Arabidopsis thaliana: one gene and its partners. The main gene of each other region encodes a partner of the protein of the gene in region 4 in a complex. Each region holds a gene or a part of one and is shown on either strand. Other genes may lie near its edges.

Evidence for each region.
Region 1: TAF6B (region 4) and TAF4B share a complex: the UniProt entries of both Arabidopsis thaliana proteins name them as parts of the TFIID complex.
Region 2: TAF6B (region 4) and TAFII15 share a complex: the UniProt entries of both Arabidopsis thaliana proteins name them as parts of the TFIID complex.
Region 3: TAF6B (region 4) and HAF01 share a complex: the UniProt entries of both Arabidopsis thaliana proteins name them as parts of the TFIID complex.

The regions. Positions count from the first base shown.
Region 1 is NC_003070.9:9,642,803-9,649,266, forward strand, and holds TAF4B (TBP-associated factor 4B), read right to left. Parts: upstream 4,575-6,464; coding exon 4,533-4,574; intron 4,523-4,532; exon of another isoform or gene 4,414-4,522; coding exon 4,347-4,413; exon of another isoform or gene 4,077-4,346; coding exon 3,844-4,076; intron 3,754-3,843; coding exon 3,652-3,753; intron 3,400-3,651; coding exon 3,339-3,399; intron 3,209-3,338; coding exon 2,502-3,208; intron 2,276-2,501; coding exon 2,151-2,275; intron 1,999-2,150; coding exon 1,911-1,998; intron 1,826-1,910; coding exon 1,687-1,825; intron 1,595-1,686; coding exon 1,539-1,594; intron 1,453-1,538; coding exon 1,396-1,452; intron 1,317-1,395; coding exon 1,194-1,316; intron 1,105-1,193; coding exon 1,054-1,104; coding exon of another isoform or gene 1,039-1,053; exon of another isoform or gene 970-1,038; coding exon 810-969; intron 701-809; coding exon 549-700; downstream 1-548. Other genes in the region: AT1G27710 (Glycine-rich protein family), read left to right, coding at 1-386; STZ (salt tolerance zinc finger), read right to left, coding at 5,500-6,183. UniProt on the Arabidopsis thaliana protein: TAFs are components of the transcription factor IID (TFIID) complex that is essential for mediating regulation of RNA polymerase transcription.
Region 2 is NC_003075.7:15,353,284-15,358,034, forward strand, and holds TAFII15 (TBP-associated factor II 15), read right to left. Parts: upstream 3,149-4,751; 5' UTR 2,908-3,148; intron 2,888-2,907; exon of another isoform or gene 2,521-2,887; intron 2,458-2,520; exon of another isoform or gene 2,441-2,457; 5' UTR 2,422-2,440; coding exon 2,329-2,421; intron 2,233-2,328; coding exon 2,168-2,232; intron 1,767-2,167; coding exon 1,704-1,766; intron 1,519-1,703; coding exon 1,467-1,518; intron 1,373-1,466; coding exon 1,322-1,372; intron 1,021-1,321; coding exon 940-1,020; 3' UTR 764-939; coding exon of another isoform or gene 688-763; 3' UTR 637-687; coding exon of another isoform or gene 556-636; 3' UTR 513-555; downstream 1-512. Other genes in the region: AT4G31715 (uncharacterized protein), read left to right, coding at 376-419, 556-636, 688-763. UniProt on the Arabidopsis thaliana protein: TAFs are components of the transcription factor IID (TFIID) complex that is essential for mediating regulation of RNA polymerase transcription.
Region 3 is NC_003070.9:11,853,719-11,858,398, forward strand, and holds the start of HAF01 (HAC13 protein (HAC13)), read right to left. Parts: upstream 3,048-4,680; 5' UTR 2,846-3,047; intron 2,634-2,845; 5' UTR 2,544-2,633; coding exon 2,498-2,543; intron 1,792-2,497; coding exon 1,688-1,791; intron 1,513-1,687; coding exon 1,450-1,512; intron 1,316-1,449; coding exon 1,270-1,315; intron 896-1,269; coding exon 641-895; intron 419-640; coding exon 327-418; intron 228-326; coding exon 56-227; intron 1-55. Other genes in the region: AT1G32760 (Glutaredoxin family protein), read left to right, coding at 4,533-4,680. UniProt on the Arabidopsis thaliana protein: TAFs are components of the transcription factor IID (TFIID) complex that is essential for mediating regulation of RNA polymerase transcription. Core scaffold of the TFIID complex.
Region 4 is NC_003070.9:20,288,897-20,293,679, forward strand, and holds TAF6B (TBP-ASSOCIATED FACTOR 6B), read left to right. Parts: upstream 1-1,703; coding exon 1,704-1,823; coding exon of another isoform or gene 1,824-1,892; coding exon 1,893-2,140; intron 2,141-2,227; coding exon 2,228-2,334; intron 2,335-2,405; coding exon 2,406-2,482; intron 2,483-2,561; coding exon 2,562-2,699; intron 2,700-2,791; coding exon 2,792-2,887; intron 2,888-2,983; coding exon 2,984-3,108; intron 3,109-3,191; coding exon 3,192-3,324; intron 3,325-3,534; coding exon 3,535-3,660; intron 3,661-3,764; coding exon 3,765-3,876; intron 3,877-3,965; coding exon 3,966-4,264; downstream 4,265-4,783. Other genes in the region: ABCD2 (ABC transporter family protein), read left to right, coding at 83-324, 402-678, 801-1,051, 1,140-1,349; NHX5 (sodium hydrogen exchanger 5), read right to left, coding at 4,457-4,544, 4,633-4,754. UniProt on the Arabidopsis thaliana protein: TAFs are components of the transcription factor IID (TFIID) complex that is essential for mediating regulation of RNA polymerase transcription. Not redundant with TAF6.

The DNA of each region.
Region 1 (6,464 bases), about 11 Mb from region 4:
CCAGTGAGATTGGAAAGAGTATCCGACACGTAACCGGATTTAAGGGTGAACTCACAGCTGGTGGCTACGGCGGTGGAGGCCCGGGATATGGTGGTGGTGGATACGGTCCAGGTGGCGGCGGTGGTGGTGTTGTAATCGGTGGTGGATTTGGTGGAGGTGCCGGGTATGGTTCAGGTGGTGGTTTGGGTTGGGATGGAGGCAACGGAGGTGGTGGTCCAGGATACGGGTCAGGTGGAGGAGGTATTGGTGGTGGAGGAGGTATTGGTGGTGGAGTCATCATTGGCGGTGGTGGTGGAGGATGCGGAGGTTCATGCAGCGGAGGCGGTGGTGGTGGAGGAGGATATGGACACGGCGGAGTCAGCACGAAGGGATCAGGCAAAAACTAGAAAAAACATGCAGCTTGCTTTAGGTAGTGAAAGGAAGAAGAAATAAGGATGTACTTTAGCATCTTGATCATGTTTAGGAGTTTGTAATGGCATTAGTTTTAATGGAATAAGAACCTTTCTACAAAAAAAAATAAAGAATTGGTCCTATGTCTTTTCTTGGTTTCAAACATCCGAGCAGATTCTATTGTATACGCGATACAATAGCGTCGATCTTGACATCTGAGGCTCCTTTTCCACCACAGCGATCACATCCTTCACAGAGATTGACCGGACTACTTTTGGTAAACCTTGGTTCTTCCCAAATTGTGTACCACCTACATAAAGTTCGAATATGCAATTAGGAGCACGAAACACAAGAATAACCAGCAACAGAACTGAGAGATTTACTCTTTCAGATCATAGAAACGGGATTACCAATCTTACCAGAAAGTTTCTTGGAGTTTCTTCCTGGCCCTGGAGAAGATCTCTGACGTGCTTCAGCCATAAGTTTCCATTTTGAAAACCTATCATCTCCTCCAACGGCTGCACGAACAGCAACATTTGCAGCCTTGGCTCTCTCTTTATCTTCGTCCTTCTTATTTGCCTGACTTGTGATCAATAAACCTCTTTCAGTGTACGTATGTGTATATCTCCAAAGGTTTAGGTAGTTGGCTCAAGTTCTAAATACCTTCACTTCGTTTGAACGTTGGTCTTCTTTTTCAGTATCATTTTCTTTGTTCTACATCAATGAATATACAAAAAAAAAAAACTAGACATTACTACTGATAACTAAGACAAATAGATATTAAGCTCAGGACAAACCATTACCTTTTCTTCTCCAGAATGTTTCTTTTCCCATTCCTCTTTCACCTTCTGATTCATTTCATTAATTTCTTTCCGGATATCAGATGTGATAAAAGTCCGATTTCTACACTTCTCTGCATCAGTCCGCTGCAAAAGCTCTTGTAACTTCAGAAAGATTTAGGTACAACAAGATCTAAGGAGGCATGAGAAGAGAAAGTAGACTGACCTGCTTTGATATTCGTATTATATTAAACAGTAGTCCTCGCATCCTCTCCTCCACACACTGAATGCGCAAAGCCATGAGAAAAACGAAAACAAAAACAGGAAATTGAAGGCTAATAATTCCAAGAAAAGGTGTTAACATCTCACCAGAGACAAGCACCGCTCTACATCATGGTCTATATGCTTTAAACCACTTTTTCCCACTGTCATATATGAAAGCATACATAAACTTCTTCTCCAAGTGATTCCAAGTAAGGACCAAAGAAGCAGCTAAGATACGAGTTGAAACACAAACTAATTTCTGTCAGCTTTCTCTGCAGTGGAATTTTCTGCAAAAGCGTTCTTTCTTCCTCTCCATGCACAAGTCTTCGATATGCTTTAGAAACACGATCGTTCTTTTTAGGACCAGAATCTAATAATTGTTTTTCCTCTTCCTAGAACAGATGCAGAAAGTAATTTGGTTTATTGTTTCTCTATATCCAGGTTCAAAATGAGAAGTGTAGCAACTCGTAAACATACCCTGAGATTGATGCCACTGACTGCAGTGACATCATTAAACTTTTCAATACTTTCATCTGAAGAAGTCCCACATATTTTTTGCTTCTTTCTGTATATTAAAAAATACATAAGACTTCAATTTAGCAATTCTAAATTGTTAGTAAGGTAAAAAGGATATTATCAGAAAAGCAAAGAAAAAAGGAAGAGTAATTTATGGACGCTGTAAGTAGTTCATCTTTCACAAACCAGCCAGCTCATTACCTTGATGGTGGCAGCGAAGAACCTAGTGCCTCAAGAGGTTTCTTCTGACCAACAGAAGGCATTTTGGGTGTCACCGTAACATTAGCAATCTTGGGAATGGTCTCAGATGGGGCAGGCATATTAACCTGAAGTGTACACAAATAATTTTCACGTAAGATAGATAGTCCATTTACTCTTCACAACCAAAGTTCGAAGCCAGTACAAGGAGAAATAGAAGCCAGGGTGGTCCAAAATATAAGCAAAACGAAACCAAATGCAACATCGGTTGAAGAGAAATGGTCCCCCTATGAGCTTAAAGAGAAGATCAACCAAATTGAAATCTGTCTTTTGAAAGTATAATTTATAAGTTACCATCGTGCTAGAGTCCAGCTGTGTTGTCATTGAAGGAAAAACAGAGCTGGCAGAAGTGGTTGATGTGAATAAACCCATTTTAGAAGACTGCTTCTCCAAGTCATCATTTGAACTAATTGGAATAGCATTCTTCTGTTTCAGTGGAACATTAGTCACGCCTTGCTGCACCAAATAACGAGGTTTATGTGCCTGTTCAAAACTTTGATCAATCAATTTATGCTCCACATGGATCACTGATGAAGAAGGTCCCACTGTATGGTCCTTGGTGACTGATCCTTGCCAAGGAGCAGAATATAGAGGAAAGGATGAGTTCTTTGGGAAGTCGGATATAGGACCATCCTGAACCCTACTTGGACCATTTACAAAAGTTGGCCTCTCAAACTTGGGTACTGTCGTCATGTTTATTGTAGACTTGGTTGGTCCTCCAACACTGGCTATTCCCACATTCTGATTGTTTTCCCTATGCTGGAAATCAGGGAGCTTTGCTCTCGATGATGAACCAGGAGAAGTGACATTTGTCCCTGGGTATGGATTAAGACTTCCAGATTTGGTATCCATATGAAAAGAACTTGATGGAAGCTGCATGTGTTGCTCGGGATGCTTATTTAATCCCTGCACAGTAGTTGAACTGTTTAAGGTGCCTGAAGTTGTAGAAGACAGTTGGTTAACATGAACTTCACGAGGATCAGATTCTTGAGCAGTGAATTCTGCAGTTAATGATTGTATCTGGGATTAGTTTTGTATGCTACAAGGAAATCATAAGATAAGATCTACCAGAAAGTTAAGATGATCTATGATAATTGCAAAAGTAAATGGCATCAACTAAATAAGTTATACCAGCAGATTTAGACACTTTGTCATGGTTTGAGCGTCCAGGTACTTTGATCCCCATATTTCCCTGGTTACACATACAGTTCATTCTGAAACCAGTAAGCCACAATTCCAAGACAAGAAGTATTCAGCTTATACTATTAAAGTGAGAATTCTTTATGTTATTTCCTTTTTAATAAGGTTCAGAAGTGAGATTTCTTTCTCAGCACATGTTCATATACAGAGAAGGAAGCATATAAAACAAGAAACTCTCTTGGAGGCTGCTAAATGAAAATCATTAAAGTACTTATAAATGCTAAGAAAATGGAAAGGGTAATACCGGTTTTAACTGAGGCAGTTGGCTAATTACCGATCTGATTATCTGATCACCTACAAGATCTCTCAGTTGTCGCATGAACTCTTCCATTGTAAGTTCTTTTCTCTGCAATCAAGTATGAAAAGAAACGTAATGTATTAAGAAACTTCGATCAGAGTGCCAATTCATTCATGGATGTAAACTGTAAAGCCACACCTTGAGTTTATAATGCAGGTTAAGACAATGCGTCTTTTTGCCGGGTTGGTGGTCTACCACGGTACGAAGCAAATCAGTAACTCGTGCTAATCTAAGATTATGATTCACAGGGTCAACAGTCTTTTCCACCCAAGGAGTCTCTTTGCTACTCATCTTCTGCAGTTTCATATACCGAGGTTGCGGTTTTTCTGATTCATTACCAGTAGTATTGTTTATAGACTTCAAGTTACTTCCTTGGGGCACATGAGTTCAAGCACCAAAATCAATTATGAGTATGCTCTAATATTTTTCTATGACTAACCGTCACTAAAGCATCATCAAGAACTAACAATCTAATTGCATCCATCAACATTCAACAGTTAACATCAAGTGAAACATGAAGATACATGACAAACCACAAAAATACGACTCGTGAACCTAAATCACTAAAGAAATCTAAAGGCATTTCCCTGTTTTGATACATTCCACAGTTTCGCATATGAATTTTAGGGTCCAAAACGAACCTTCAATATCTCGAATCAGAGAGTCCTGAAACATTTGCAAGTCATCTTCCGAATGCTTAGAGTCAACCTAACGACACGATTAGCGGGAATCGACATTTAGGAGCTTCGTCCACAGAACAAGATAGCGCGTGGATTTTCGCAGACAGTACGGAAATGAAAATGAGAGTGGGAAATTCGAAACCTAACCTCTTCGTCTTCTTCGAGGAGCTTGACAATGGAGAGATCCATGGAGGAATCTCGCGGTACCAAACGTCAATAGCTCAAAACGAAGAGGGAATTTTCAAGGAAACGATTTGTTGTATCCAATAAGATTCCAAATTCCGCAAGTTTTTATATAAAGGGAGATTCTGCGAGAACACCGTGTCGTTTTTTCTTTTTGATAAAACACTGCGCGCCGTTCTGTTGATCTTCTTTTCGGTAGTTGTTTCTTTTGGATAAAACACTGCGCGCCGTTCTGTTCTTCTTTTCGGTAACTGGGCTTGTTCTTGTATATCAAAATTTATTTTTCTTGAATATAATGTTGGAGTTCTTAAACAGTTATTCATATTAGCATCAGACTTTTGCAAAAAAAAATTAATTAACTTTTAGATGAATTTTGATACACGTTTATGACCATTGAGTTTTGGACTTCCCGTAGATAATTCACCAAATTAAAGAAGGGATTATCTACGTTAATTAAACAGTGCTACTAAAGAAAACAAACGACCCGTCAAGAAAGGCTTTTTTCAATTGAAAGTTACGGTATTCTTTTGGTAAAAGAAAAATGAAAGTTGAGTTTTCTTTGGCAGTCTTCCGTAAGATATCACAACTCTTTTTATTTGCTTAGAGCTTTCCAAAATATAAGAAAGAACAATATGTGGATGGTAGTAGAAACTAGAACGTTCTTGATTATGCTTAATTGTGTTATAAATTTTTTGAAAAAAACAGAACCAAAAACAGAGTTGTAGTGGTGTCACTTTATGCTTATTCAGATAAAAAAAAGACTCAACGCGTTTGTAAAATATGTGGTAAAGAATCGGTTTAATAATTTTTAAAATGAAAGAACAAGAAGAATTGGAATCAGTCAAAGTCCAATTTGGTATGTACAGTCAACAAATTCCTACACAACTCTCAACAGTATACAAACGAAATCTTATCGTCTAAGTAAATTTCCTTAAAGTTGAAGTTTGACCGGAAAGTCAAACCGAGGCTTCTTCGCCGGCATAGGGCTCATGACTTCGTCGTCTCCGTTGACCATCGAGAATTCAGGGATCGGAGGGATGTTGAGGTCAAACCCACGGTGGCTACTGCTAACGTGGCTAGTGGACCCCGCACCTTCGGAGTTGGACACGCTACTAGTGTTGATGTTGTTGTTTCCTTCGTAGTGGCACCGCTTGTGTCCGCCGAGAGCTTGACCGGAAGGAAAAGACTTGTTACAGATGGTGCAAACGTGTGATTTCCCACTTCCAGTAGTCACGGCGGATGTGGTTGTCGCCGACGAGGTTGAATGATCATCTCCTCCGCCGGAGAGAGTCTGTGATAAGTTCTTACGGTGGCTTGCCTTGTGACCACCGAGAGCTTGGTAAGAAGAGAACGTCTTGTCGCAGACGCTACACTTGTAGCTCAACTTCTCCACCGCCGGAGGAGGAGGAGGCTGACGGTTGTCGCGAGCGAGAAGCATGAGGCAAAAAGCTAGATACTCTTCCTCAGTGAGGTTTTGGTGGTGGAAATCGGATCTTGATCTCTTAGATCGCTTACCCTTTGTCCAGTGCTCGACTCCATGGAAGACTGAAGAATCTTCGAACAAAGGAGGAATCGGAGAAGCTAATCTTGGTGATGTAAGAGCCTCGAGCGCCATTAAGTTAAAGATTCTGAGGATTTCTTGTCTCTCGAGTTTTAGTTTGAAGGTTGCTTGTGAATTGCAGTGAAGAAATTGTTTAATTGCTGAAGAAGAAGTAATGAAAGTGTGTGTAAATATATAGTAGTAGGTGGAGTGTGGAGAAGGAAGTTGCGTGACAAGTGGTAGGAAAGTGTGAAGAGTGAAGGTGGCGATTAGATAATTACTATATTTTTCTAAAACTCTTTTTAATATGCGGACCAAAGTTGTGATGAAAGTATCTAGATGTTTTTTTGGGGGTA
Region 2 (4,751 bases), on a different chromosome or scaffold from region 4:
GAAGAAATTGGACAGAGACTTTACATATTACAGACAAAAAGTCGGCATATAGAATCATTCCAGACAACGTTTATGGTCCTGTATACATATAAGGAGAATGTGCTCAGAAACCACAAGTACCTATGTCATATAAAAAACTTGAAACTTACCTTAACTTTTCAGCCTCAAAACATTTAAAACAAAACCGACTCTGAAAGAAAGACAGAAACAGAGAGAGACAGAGAGAGTGTGTACGAGGTGACACTCGAAACCGGGAAGTAGTGGCTGGAAGAAATGCGGATTGGTCGGAGACTGAAGTGGAGGATTCACCATTTCAAACAATTCAGGAGGAAAAAAACTCAAGAATCTTCAACTTTCTTTGTGATGAAAAAACCAATGTGTTCTTGTCTTCAATGTAGCGTTGTAAAAGCTGACGAAAGGTTACTAGATTTTTCAGATTGTTGTCTTCTTTCATGTATTTCTAGGTAAAGAATATTCGGACATGAGAAAGTGAAAAAACAAAACAGAACAGCTTTTTTCAATTGCTAAATTCCAAAAAGTAACTTTATTATTGAGATGCCGCGGTTACAAAGGGGGATTGTCTAAAGGTATACAACAGAGTGTGGCAATGTTTCAAGTTAGATCAGAAGCACTTAGGTTCATCATTGCTAGATGGAAAATATACTTTGTGGTTTTTCAATCCTACAGTATCCAGTTAATCACAAGGATGGATACTTATCTTATTTTCACGACTTGGAGACTTGCAAGAATGGTGGATAAGTGATGTAGAACCCCAAAAATCACCAGAGAACAAACAACAAACGAATATACATGTAATGTAGTAATTGAGGACTAGCAAGACAAGTGAGTTTTGTTTTTAACTGAAACACAACAGAGAATCAGGGATCTGAGACACATGACCGTCCTTACTAGGCAAAGATTTTGAGGAATTCCTGGTTTCTATTCGTCCCTTGTTGCAGGGTCCATTCCAGTCGAAGGGCTATCAGCAAAATATTCTGGATGCTTCACGTTCACACCATACTGCCAAACCGAGTTTACTCACGAGTTAGCTTCCCACTACTAGTTAAGACGAGACTGTAAAACCTTACCTATCTACCTACACTACTGCAATACACAATATTATAACCACTAACTCTAAAACATGTTTCTAAGCATTTTATGTTGATTCTGTGATACTGAATTAGTTTCATGCCATGTGTATTTAGAGTAATTTGCAGCTTAAGTAAAAAAAAACAAGAGACATCTACATTTTCTTCTCATACATTGGAGGTCTGAGGGACAACAATACCAGAAGCATGAACTTAGAGGAAGAAGCATTTACCTCACGCAAAGCTTTTGAAAGATCTTCCATTGTCAATACCAAACGCTTATCCTGTTAAGGAAACATTAATATTCATGTCATCATCCAAAACATATTTGTTGCAGTCTTGCAGAGGGAAAAAAAACAAAAGGGAGTCAGATGTTACCTTTTGCTGTTTTTTGTCTTTCACAACTGGTGCTGGTCTAGCCTTGCAATGCCTGTATATAATTGACAATTTTTATTATTCAGGAGCTTATATCAATGCTTTTAGCTTCTGGGAAAATCTAGCGTAGACATCTTTTCATCTCATCTACTCAGAATGGGCAGTGTCTTCTCTTTCTCAATTACAAGTCAAATATGAAAAAGGGTATGATAATTCGTTGTGAAGAGAATGAAAACTTACTGAAGGGCGTCACTGGCAACATCTGCAACAAACTTTTGTGTAGCCACAGCAACTAGCCTTATCCTGTCAAACAAGTAAACAAAAAAACAGAATATTGGCAAGAATAGATACAGGAAAAGATTATGACAGGAGTGAAAAACTCAAAAACTAAAATATACCAATATTCAGCACTCAATTTGATAGAAAGAGAAGAATCCCCTCATTATTCTACGCATTCAAACTGAACTCTGAAGTTTACATTCAAATTGCCAATCTTTTTCAGTGCTAGTCCAACATAGACTTCTTTATCATACCATTTTACAGGAATGTTAAACAGGGCAAAACCTTAATCCAAAATGATTTAAACCAAGCCATTGATCTAACTACTGGTCACCCATTCTAAGACCCAACAATGATTCCATTCAATATCAACTTATCTGCTCTTTCATTGTAAGTATCAGATATAACTTGTCGGAAATACCTACAATCGTACGTCGGGGCACTGAAATCCACTCTTAGCCAAGTAGTGCTCCACTAAATCATCAGGAATCTGAAAGAAAAATAAAAATCCAGAACTCAATCAATACCCAAATTTCAGTCATGTAGAGCCGAGAAAAAGTTGTAACTAGTACAAAGGAAAGTATACAGTAGGAGTATAATCCATCAGAGAAGCAAGGAACTCTGTAAGAGCAGCATCATCTTCATGCTTTGCCTCACCAGATTGTTGGCCGTGATTCATCTCTCCCACCACCAGAGTACTGAAGCGAAGCAACAACTGTAAGTAAAGAAAGGTTTTCAAAATCAAACATTAATAAAGAACCTCTGAACTAGTATCTACCTCAAATTAGAAACTTGTACGAAACCTAAGAAAGAATGTCATGACTCATGACACAATTATACCAAAATAAGTTTTACGAGAATTTTGACTACTGAAACTTTCCAGCTCAATTTACTAATTCTCTGTTCCAGATTTGTCTTCTCGTATGACATTATTGTTTCTAAGTAACGAACTATTCCTGATTTGTGTTGCAAAAGACCACACCAAGTTTTGAATTGAACGACGTGAAGTAAACTAAGAGGGCTCTGATTCATCAAGAAACAGCATTCATGAGCAAAATTCGATACCACCCAAGAGAAAATTCAACCGAAAAAAAGACAAAATTGAGCTGAAATTGAAACCAGAGACATAGAGGAAAAATTCAATAAAGTAAGCGATAATGCGAACCTAAACGAAGCAGCAACGGAAGAGAATTGAGCTGAGACGAGGCAAATCAATGGTAAAGAAGAGAAGTTTCGACGGATTTCGGGCGGGTAGAAGAAAGGATCGGAGATCGACTAGTGAGTCTCCGTTGAAACCCTAATCCTCCGACTGGTCCAACTCAGAGCCATCTCCGCCGGTCAGATTTTTAAGAGTTGAGAAAGAATCGTTAGATAGACTAATGGGCCTATTGATTTAAACTATGGCCCAAACTTAAGGAAGTATTCTTCACATATGGCCCAAATTTAGGTTTTTTTTTTTCCTTTTTCACAATCCATTTTTTATTCTCTTCCCATAAAATCAATATTTGAGTTTAGTGTATCTAAGAATATCGAAACGAAATTGTCAATCAATAAAATCTCAAAAATGTAACTTTAGTGTATAGTGTTGTACAATCTGCTGTATAGTGAGCTTTAATTTGATGGGAGACAAAGAATATGACAATGAAAGCACTAACTCCATCTAGACGGAATATTTAATGACCAACAAAAGCAGTTTTTGTTTTTCTCATTTGTCAACTCATAGTCATTAGAAAAAGACTTAAGGGTAGTTTTATATATTCTACGAGAAGCAGGTGGTAAATTCAGTGAAGAAGGATTGGACTAATTCTCTCCATAAAAACATAAAAGAGAGATATGTATATGATGATACTTTATTTCACGGGATTCCATTTGTTTGTTTGTTTTTGGTTAATGGTGGATTCCATTTGTAGGTAAATTAATGGATAAATACCAGATAAATAAATCCATATTTTCTCAAATATGCTTCTTAGACGCTACGTATTATGTATTTACATTTAAATCATTTTCCAAAAGCTTTTTTTTTTTTGTATAAAACCAAAATAAGAGACAGTTTATTCAAGAAGCTAGTTTACCTAGTTATATCAAAGGGGCCAATCAGAATCTAATGTAAACTATATCCAAGTCTCATTGTCATGGAAAAAGGTTTGATTTAATTTGACGATTTTTAAAAAACGGTTGTTCAATCGCGGCATAGGAATATTTTTGGCTATAGGCTAGGACAAGCTATATGGATTGATTTGAACTTTCTCTTTAATTCTTTTCATCAAATTATGGAATATTATATTAAAACCTAGATATTTTAAAGAAAAAGAAAAATTGTATGCAAAAATTTAATTTACTTTTGGAATACGGATTCTAAATTTTTTTGTTGTTTAAAATAGTAAAGAAAAATAAAATATATCAATGAAATCAGGAAGAGGCAAAACATGGTGGCCAATCAAATCGGTTTACTTCAGGCGATCGACGAGCATTTCTAACGAAGCAATGTTCATGTGATCTCAATGGAATATCGACTGTTGTCAATGTGATCGTAACCATACTTTTAAGTTCTGCACTGTATTCTAATTTCTACACAACTATGTTATCTCAATTTTTAACTACTTCCTTCATTATTTACCTCCAGCAAGTGAAAATTAAAAGACCGATAGACAAACAAAAATACATAATCTAGTAAAACAAGTACTAAAAATCTAACATGGTAGAAGAGAAATTGTGTATGTAGGTTCTTTGCAAATAAATCGTGTGTATACTGTATAGACTGATAGACTATTCCTTGTTTGGGGAAAAATGGCTATACACTTATAATATTTTAGAAGTGTCACAAAATAGAAAACTATTTTAAAAAGTAACTTTCTTGGATCGAAAAAATAATAATATGATATATGGTAGGGAAATTTTTACTAATTTTATTAAATTTAATAGGAAGTATCATAAGCACCCATATAGATATGCATAAGTTTGAAACAGAAAATTTGTAGGTACGGTTAGTCGGCTATAAGAGTGGCTTCA
Region 3 (4,680 bases), 8.4 Mb from region 4:
ACTCAATAGGGTTCGAGAAGAAACAAAAAGAGGAAGAACATTCCAGATCACATACCTCTACAAGTGACATATCTATTTTCTCTCCTATCCCGTTTCTGTGGAGGCTCATGGATAGCAAATATCTCGGAGAACTGTAAGATAACCATACCATCTTCCACATACAACGTAGGCAGTGGGGTGGCGCCTTTGTCATCCAATGTACCTTCCAATAACTCATCCACCTCCTCCTGAATGTTTTGATGAGATCACTAACATAACAAAATCATCCCACAGCAAAAATATGTTATTTGAGACACAATTTCCCTTTATTTTGAGGGGAAACTGACCTCCTGGACATCTTCGGTGTCCATATGATCCTCTTTATCCAAGATGCTAGCCTCCTCTTCATACTCCAAGGCCTTGTCTTCCTTTAAGACAACTGCAACGCAATTTTTTTTGTCTTGTTAAGTTTATATTCTCAAGGACTTAAATCACACTAGACTACAGCTTTGCAAGTAATCATTTGCCTGAGCTCAACAAGTATAATTACAGGAAGAATGACTTAACAAAACCAATTTGAGTGATGAGATAACACAACAAAAGTACACTTTACTATGGGATAATTGTTTTGTTCAAGAAACGGAAATTTCGAAATGCAAACCTGGTTCCCTCTTTTCAGTTTCAAGAGATTTTTCAACTGGCGCTTGCTCCTCCTCTTGTTCTTCTTCCTCGTCATAATCTTCATCATCAAACACAGAAGCTCTGGACTTTAAACTACCCAAAGCAACTGCAGTCGAAAAATACTCCTTTTTTGGCAGTAGATGATCTTCCTCACTGACTACTTGAACTTCGGGCCCATCGTACTCTTCATCAATATCCTCATAATCAACAGCATCCTCAGCTTTTCTATCATAATCTACACAACATATCACCACAGTCAATGACGCTGATGACCAGGATTTGGTAGTGTAAATAGTGTCAGTATGTAAATGCTACGGGCAGGAATGTTGCATATTTAAAGATTGTAAACGTGAGTAGTTAAAATGTTTATGCATATAAATTACGCAAGACACTTTCTTAAACAATCCAATAATAATTGGATTATGACTACAACGAAAGTAAGAAGAGTGCAAGACCATTGTGATGGAAACATTCACTGGGAGAAAAACTTTCTAGCAGGTTTCCTAGAAGCTACTCCAGTATGGTTTAAAGAAACGGTAGAATGAAAACTAGAAGTTAAATGAACAATAAAAACTGCATAAGATAGACGACCCTGGCAGACAACATCACCTTGCTCAGCTGGATCACTTGCTGTACGTTCTGATTTTGCCAATAACTGTTGAGTTTAGAAACACCATTATTGGCATCCCAGTACAAGAAAAAGAGGATTAAAAACCACATAAAAGACTCGCAGTTCACTCGTCTATAAACTTTAGAAGATAAAATATTAAAGAGTGTGTAGAACGTTACATTTATATCTGGTAGAGATGAACCCAGCTTATCTGCCAATGCAGAAAGATGTTCTTTGGCGTCCTGAAAAGTTTAAATGTTAGCATTGGCACAGGTATGCTTGGTGGAGAATTTGCAACTCATAGTTAATAAAATACATATATCCTAAGTCCAGAGAGAATAGACAGAAAAACTGAGACCGATAATGAAAATAATGTGTTCAACAAGGTCATCATACTGAAAGCGTAAAACAGATTACCTCATCAAGGTAATCAGCGTCCAAGTCCCCAGAGTTATCAACATTTCCAAAGATGAATCCAAGGTTAAAACCCCTGCTGTTGTCCTCATATTCATCATCGTCATCTGCAGCAGACATGTAAAATATTGGTGTTCACCAAACAAATCTTGGCAGACATGTAAAATATTGGTGTAAAATGGGAATGCATGTGATAACTGATTATCATCACGAGTATTCAGAAATCACAAAGATTGCATGTTAACACTCTTGTTAAACTGCTAAATCCAAGGTCACATAATCATTGGATTCCTCTCCATCATCTTATCAGGCTACAGTAGCCTCCATCTAGTGAAACTACTATTCCCATTCTCTTCGTCATCTAAGATCCTACAAACTCAATTCCCTCTAGAAATTTAGAAAAAATAATCTTAACTATACCCTAGAACATGTCCAGGATCACTCAAGACTGCTCCTTTTCTACTTAAAGAAATCCAAAATATTCAAAACCGTAAATCGGTCATGAGCTAGCCTAAATGCACCAAACACTAGCTAGACAGGGACATCTCTAGTTTCACAAACTGTAGTAATCCAAAATTCCACAACCTAATATTTCCAATCTCTTTGTCAATTAAGATCCTACAAACCAATACTCAGAATCACTCAAGGCTGTTCCTTTTCTACTTAAAGAGACTTAATCCGAAATATTCAAAACCGTAGAACAATCATAAGCTAGACAGGGGCATCTCCAGTTTCAGAAATCATGTCGACAATGGACTGGACCGGAAAAAAGAAAAGCAACAAACTTTGATAAAGAAAGCAACATATATATACCTGAGGAAGTCTCGTTGTGGGAACCCTTGCCATTGGATTCAGCCATATTCAAAGATTTAACTACAATGGTGACAATCGGGAGACGACAAGGCAATTGTCCTTCCCAAATCCCCAACCATTAAAACTCAATCAAAACCTTCAAAAGAAACAAAAAAAACTACACAATTACAAGCCAACCTAAACGGACCTGGAAACAAAAAAAGCTAACTTCTTTATCTGAAACTTCATCAAAAGAGTCTCAATTTGGCTTTAAAATCACAACCAAATCGAAACCCCATTGATCAATTTTCGAGTTAAGCTGAGTTGCAATCAAAGCATTGGATAAAATTGAAGAAGACGATACGATACCATTCACTGATACGAGATTGTTGGATTGGAGGGTTCTTTCTTGAAACCCTAATTGAGGGTACAAGTAAGCTTCGCCGGAAAGGTAAACCAGCTCAATCGGACGAGACGGTACGATGTCGGAGAGAAGTTCCGAGGTAAGCAAACTCTCAAATCGGAGGAAAAAAAAAAGTAATAACAAAAAAAAGAAGAAAATTGCGAAGCGACCAAGACAAGATTGTGAGGGCATTTATAAAAGTTTTATAACCCGACCCGAATAAAGTTTGAGTCCGGGTCTAATTTCTTAACCAGGAAAAATCAATTTCGTTGTTTGGTATGGAGGTGGTTAAGCAGAAATAGAGTCGGTTCTGAAGTAATTTTTGTTGTTGTTTAATCAGTGGTAATTTTACGAATTTAATAGATATATACCTATGATATTTCTTTAAAATATCTTTCTACCAAAATTGCAAAAGAAAATTGAATTTTAAAAGTATTATAAAAACATAACTGTTATAGTTCTACATTTAAATTTTCAATTTTTAATAATATTTTAATCACTTTAATTTTATTTTTTCGATCGACTAACATTCTAATATCCAAATTTAAGGCACACAAGTTTAATTGATAGTTTTATTTTTTTCATCGAATAACATCGGATGTGAAACTCTTTATTGCATACCTTGTACATATATAAAAATCAATAACATGTTGATTTTAATTATATAAAAAAATTTAATATTAAATAAAACCAGATTGAATAAAAATGGATATTAAGAAAATATATAGGTTCTTTTATTTTATGGACCACTGCGTCGGTAACTATGACGAAGTAAAACGGCAGTAGCCGTTAAAAAAAATAAAGTAAAATGATCCATATAGACAGATCGGAGATGTCGCTGAAAAAATAGAAGTGTCGTTGGAAAAAATAGAGATATTGATCTAACAACGTAGGAGTCGTGAAAAATATAGCGGCCTAAATGAACATAATCCAGCTTTTCTTCCATTGTCAGTTTTGAACAACCAGCAACGAATTTTATAATAAATTATGCCATTTATTTCTCATTTCGTTCTTTAATTTTTAGTCATCAAATTTAATCGCAACGACCAATACAAGAAGAACATGGTATAATCATACCAAATCATTGATTCAATATTACCTTATTAGATTTTATAAAATTCATTATCCATTCAACAATTGTACCTCAACATTTTCAAATGTACCTCAACAAGCAATTTTTTCTTTATTTAGTTTAACCTAAACAAGGAATTTATTTTTATTTTTACCATAACCATCATGAACTTTGTTGACTTGTTAAATGTCTCTATCTCCTTCTAACGAAATTATCAAAATCAATTTCTGTTCCTTATACTCCAACCAAATAGTGGTCCTGATTCTAAATCCTAGTTCTAAAATTAAGCCTTGTATTTTCTCTTTTTTATTAACGTAAAATCAAACAAAACAAATATCTCAAATATTTTGTTAAGAAAAAAGAATTCTTTATTCAACGAAAAATATGGATTAAAAAGAACACCAAAGCCACGTGCATTGTCACTTCCCAACTTTAGAAAAATTGTATTTATATAAACAAGTTTTATCTAATTAGCAGTTTTATGTTATTTTGTCTTTAATCTCACTTCACCGTCTCTCTTTCACTCAATCTCCGTGATTCATTTTTTCTCCGACGTTGCTTAATCCTCGAAATCTCCGGCGATGGGTGGTTGCGTCTCCTCCAACCTCCTTACTCCGACCGATGACAGCAGCTTCTCTCACCTCACCAGCTCCTCCTTAAGCCAACATTTCGTCAAGCTAACTTCCACCACTTACGGTCTTCTCAATCTCGACTCTTCTTCACCTTCTC
Region 4 (4,783 bases):
GGCTAAATGAAAAACTGCATTTGCTGTAGGTTGGGATTCTCCTTTTACGCATCTAACAATATCAAGACTTCTTCCAACACAGGTGAATTTGATGATCTTTTGGATAACAACATCTTCAGAGATCCATCTGACACTGTGGACGAGATTGAGCTGACATATCAGAGTGAGATGAACTCTTCACTGCTGGACACCAATGGTTCAATCAAGTCCCAACCGAACCAAAAGCGTCTGGAGATCGAGGAGCTTACTCTTCAGACACCAACAAACGGAACCACATTGGTTCACAACTTATCTGCAGATGTATATGACAAGGATCACCTACTGGTTAGTTCACTTTGACTACTTGTGTTTAAAGCATGTGACTGGTAGATTGGAAGTTACTTAAAAATGCCATTTAACAGATAATGGGTCCTAGTGGGAGTGGAAAAACTTCGCTGCTAAGAGCAATGGCTGGTCTTTGGAGGTCAGGGAAAGGAAAAATCACGTTCTACCTCGATCCTGAGGTAGATTTTACACAGGAGAAATCTGATACTCAGGAAAATTCAGGGAAAAGAGGAGACGTATTGTTCCTTCCACAAAGGCCTTATATGGTTCTGGGATCTTTGCGTCAGCAATTGCTTTATCCTACCTGGAGTGCAACTGTGGAGGAGACGACACCTGGTGGCAGTAATATTGACGGTACTCAGTTTAAATTTGTGTCTAGTAACAACCATTTCTTTCAACTCCATTTAAGTTTATGCAAGCAGATTATAGAACCCAAAAGCAAATCGACTGAAGAAAAAATGCGTTGATTTTGTTAGGTTCACCACCTCTGCTGATTAGAGAGGACGGAAATGAAAAGCCGACAACAGATGATCTGATGCGGACTCTAGAGAAGGTTTGTCTTGGACATATAGCGGATCGCTTTGGTGGTCTTGATTCGATACACGAGTGGTCCAGTGTTCTCTCACTTGGTGAGCAGCAGCGCCTTGCCTTTGCACGGTTATTGCTGTCTCAGCCAAAGCTGGCGCTCCTGGATGAATCCACCAGTGCGTTGGATGAAGCTAATGAGGTACTTGTTGGTTCTCCTCTCATCTATCATTTAGAATAATATCATGTACATGTAGCGTTGAGCCATTAAAATTCCTCTTGATGCCCAGGCGTTCCTGTACCAGCAAATCCAGTCGGCTGGCATTACATATATAAGCATTGGCCACCGCCGGACTTTAACGAAATTCCATAACAAGATCTTACAAATCTCAACGGCAGACCCGAAGAGCAATGAACGTAACTGGCGAATAGAGGACGTGGATGCCCAAGATTCTTTGTACGGTAGATTGAATCAAAAGGAGGTGCCAAGTGAAAGCTGATCAAAACCTGATTGATTACATAAGAGACAGAAGCAGCAGGTAAATCTGCAAACGGGTGTCATGAAACATATAAGAAACATGTTTGGTGTCCATTTTGTATATAATCTACCAGACTTGACGTTGACTGAAGATGCAAGTAAATAGAGAGATTGATACAGATACGAGTGCAACGAAGTTCTGATTAAAAATAACACGCGAGATGAGCTAAAAATTCAAAACCGGCTGAGTATTTATCATAAGCCCAATAAATCTAACGATGGGCCCATTTGAGAAAGCCTGATAGAGTGAGAAAATGTAACACGACTGACTCGACTCAGTCGCTCAAAGTCGAAAAAGAAAGAAGGCGCAAGGAGGATGGTGACGAAAGAATCCATTGAAGTGATAGCTCAGAGCATTGGACTCTCCACTCTTTCTCCGGACGTCTCAGCCGCTCTTGCTCCCGATGTCGAGTATCGCGTCCGAGAGGTCATGCAGGTATATCATCAACTTCAACTTTACTTTTGCCCTCTAATCTCCTCTTTAACTTGTCGTCGCAATCTCCAGGAAGCTATCAAATGCATGCGTCATGCTCGACGCACCACTTTAATGGCTCATGATGTCGATTCTGCTCTTCATTTCAGGAATTTGGAGGTTTCCTCTTCCTCTCTTCTTCTTTTATTTCATACCGTTGACCCTGATTTTGACTTTTTTTTGTATAGCCTACCTCTGGCTCCAAAAGTATGCGGTTCAAGAGAGCTCCTGAGAACAGAGATCTATACTTCTTCGATGACAAAGATGTCGAGCTCAAGAATGTAAGCTTCATTGATTGGCCATGAATGAAGAAGATGGTGAAATGTTGTTTATTGTTATTAAGCTTCCCTTCATGGTCTCTTGTGCAGGTTATCGAAGCTCCTCTACCAAATGCACCTCCTGATGCATCTGTTTTCTCATTGGTTGGCAATTGATGGTATTCAACCTTCCATTCCACAGAATTCTCCTCTCCAAGGTATTTCTTTTGTCTTCTTTTGCATCACCTACTACTTCTCCTTCTAATCCCTCTTCCATGACAATTTGTAGCCATATCTGACCTTAAACGATCGGAATATAAGGACGATGGCTTGGCTGCTAGACAGGTGCTTTCTAAGGACCTTCAGGTTATTTTACTCCCTTCTTTTTTTGGGTCTTTACCTCGCTCTTTGAATGCTATATAATCCTTGCTTGCTCTCGATGCAGATTTACTTTGACAAAGTCACGGAGTGGGCTTTGACTCAATCTGGCTCCACCCTCTTTAGACAAGCACTCGCCAGCTTGGAAATTGATCCTGGACTCCACCCATTAGTTCCCTTTTTCACTTCTTTCATCGCTGAAGAGGTTTGTCTTTGTAATCCAACACTTCTAGTCTTGACTTTTATTCTAACTTGACCACATTTTCACTACTTTTTTTGTGCTTGCAATTTCTCCAGATTGTCAAAAACATGGATAATTATCCAATCTTGTTGGCTTTGATGCGTCTTGCTAGAAGCCTCCTTCATAACCCTCATGTACATATTGAGCCATATGTAAGTTTTGTGCGCACACTTTTTTTTTGTTTTTTTTTGTTTCTCTTCTCCCTTCTCCTCCTTCTGTTGACTTTTAACTTGTTGTATTCTGTTCAGCTGCATCAGTTGATGCCGTCTATTATCACTTGCCTTATTGCCAAGCGCTTAGGAAGAAGGTCATCTGATAATCACTGGGACTTGAGAAACTTCACTGCCAGCACAGTTGCTTCAACGTGCAAAAGGTTAATGTTACATTCTTGCTTTGTGATTTCATGCATCTTATACAACCATATAACTTGCAATCACATTAGTGAACTTTTTACAGGTTTGGACACGTTTATCACAATTTGTTGCCACGTGTCACAAGATCACTGCTTCATACCTTTTTGGACCCAACCAAGGCACTCCCACAACACTATGGGGCAATTCAAGGGATGGTAGCCCTTGGGCTTAATATGGTACTTCCTCTTGATGCTTCTTGATTATCATAACGAAGAGTAGCACTTTAGGTTGTGCGTCTAGAATTTTTACATAAGAAAGCATAAGTTTAAAACTAATAGTAGCATGATCCGACATCCTCGATAAAGTTATTAAACCTGCAATTGAACCTTAAGATATATATCCTTTGGTCGTCCGTAAGTATTTTCTTGCTTTATACCTTTGTCTAGGTTCGCTTTCTTGTTCTCCCAAACCTAGGGCCGTATTTGCTGCTTCTTTTACCTGAAATGGGACTTGAGAAGCAGAAGGAAGAAGCTAAGAGGCATGGGGCTTGGCTTGTTTATGGAGCGTTGATGGTGAGTATGCTTTCTAGTTTGATACAGAAATTAGAAAACTTGTTTGCTTTCAATCTCGTGTTGCAAAACAGGCAGGAGAGCATATAAACTTTAACTTTCCATAGGTGGCAGCTGGTCGATGCCTATATGAACGGCTTAAAACATCTGAGACACTGCTGTCTCCTCCAACTAGCTCTGTCTGGAAGACAAATGGAAAGCTCACCAGCCCCAGGCAAAGTATAAAATCTGGTCTCATTCTTTTTTTTTCTTTTGGCGTTCTAAACACGGAGATACGCGTTCTTAAATAATTTTTTTCTTCGGCCAAGGTAAACGCAAAGCAAGCAGTGACAACTTAACTCATCAACCACCACTGAAGAAGATAGCAGTAGGGGGAATTATACAAATGAGCTCCACACAAATGCAGATGCGCGGAACCACAACAGTCCCTCAACAGTCCCACACAGATGCAGATGCACGGCACCACAATAGTCCCTCAACAATTGCTCCGAAGACTTCAGCTGCTGCAGGCACTGACGTCGACAACTATCTCTTTCCTCTTTTTGAGTATTTTGGTGAGAGCATGCTTATGTTCACCCCCACACATGAGCTCAGTTTCTTCTTGTAATAGATTATTGACATGGTAATTGTATGTACCACAATAAATACATCTATATAATATTTCGAAATGTCTTGGAAATCGTCAACTTTATAGTGGGCATTTTGCGAGAGGTAAAATCAACCAGTGTTAATCTTACATAGACATATGTGTACTCTAATTATAGCTTGGCCTGGACCACAAATACACATCTTTTCCATGCTACTCCCCATCTCCATCTCCATCTCCACTATTAGTTGTGAAGAACGGAGTCAGAAAGTTTTTGTCCAACGCGGTGAATGATGTAGTGCTGCAAAGTTTTGTCAAGTGAGTCCCAAAAAATTGCAAATATCGCTTTTTACTCAGGAAAACATACTAAGCCATTCTCTTATTCTTACGTTTTGTGAAACTCCTTCAGCTTCATCTTGAACCTGCTTCCTGATGATGATGTATCCTCGTCAGATGAAGCTCCAATGCTAAAAGGAGGAGGGACATACTGATGATCGCTCTCTTCAAAGCCCTAACCACGTATCTGGGAGCGTTAGAAAA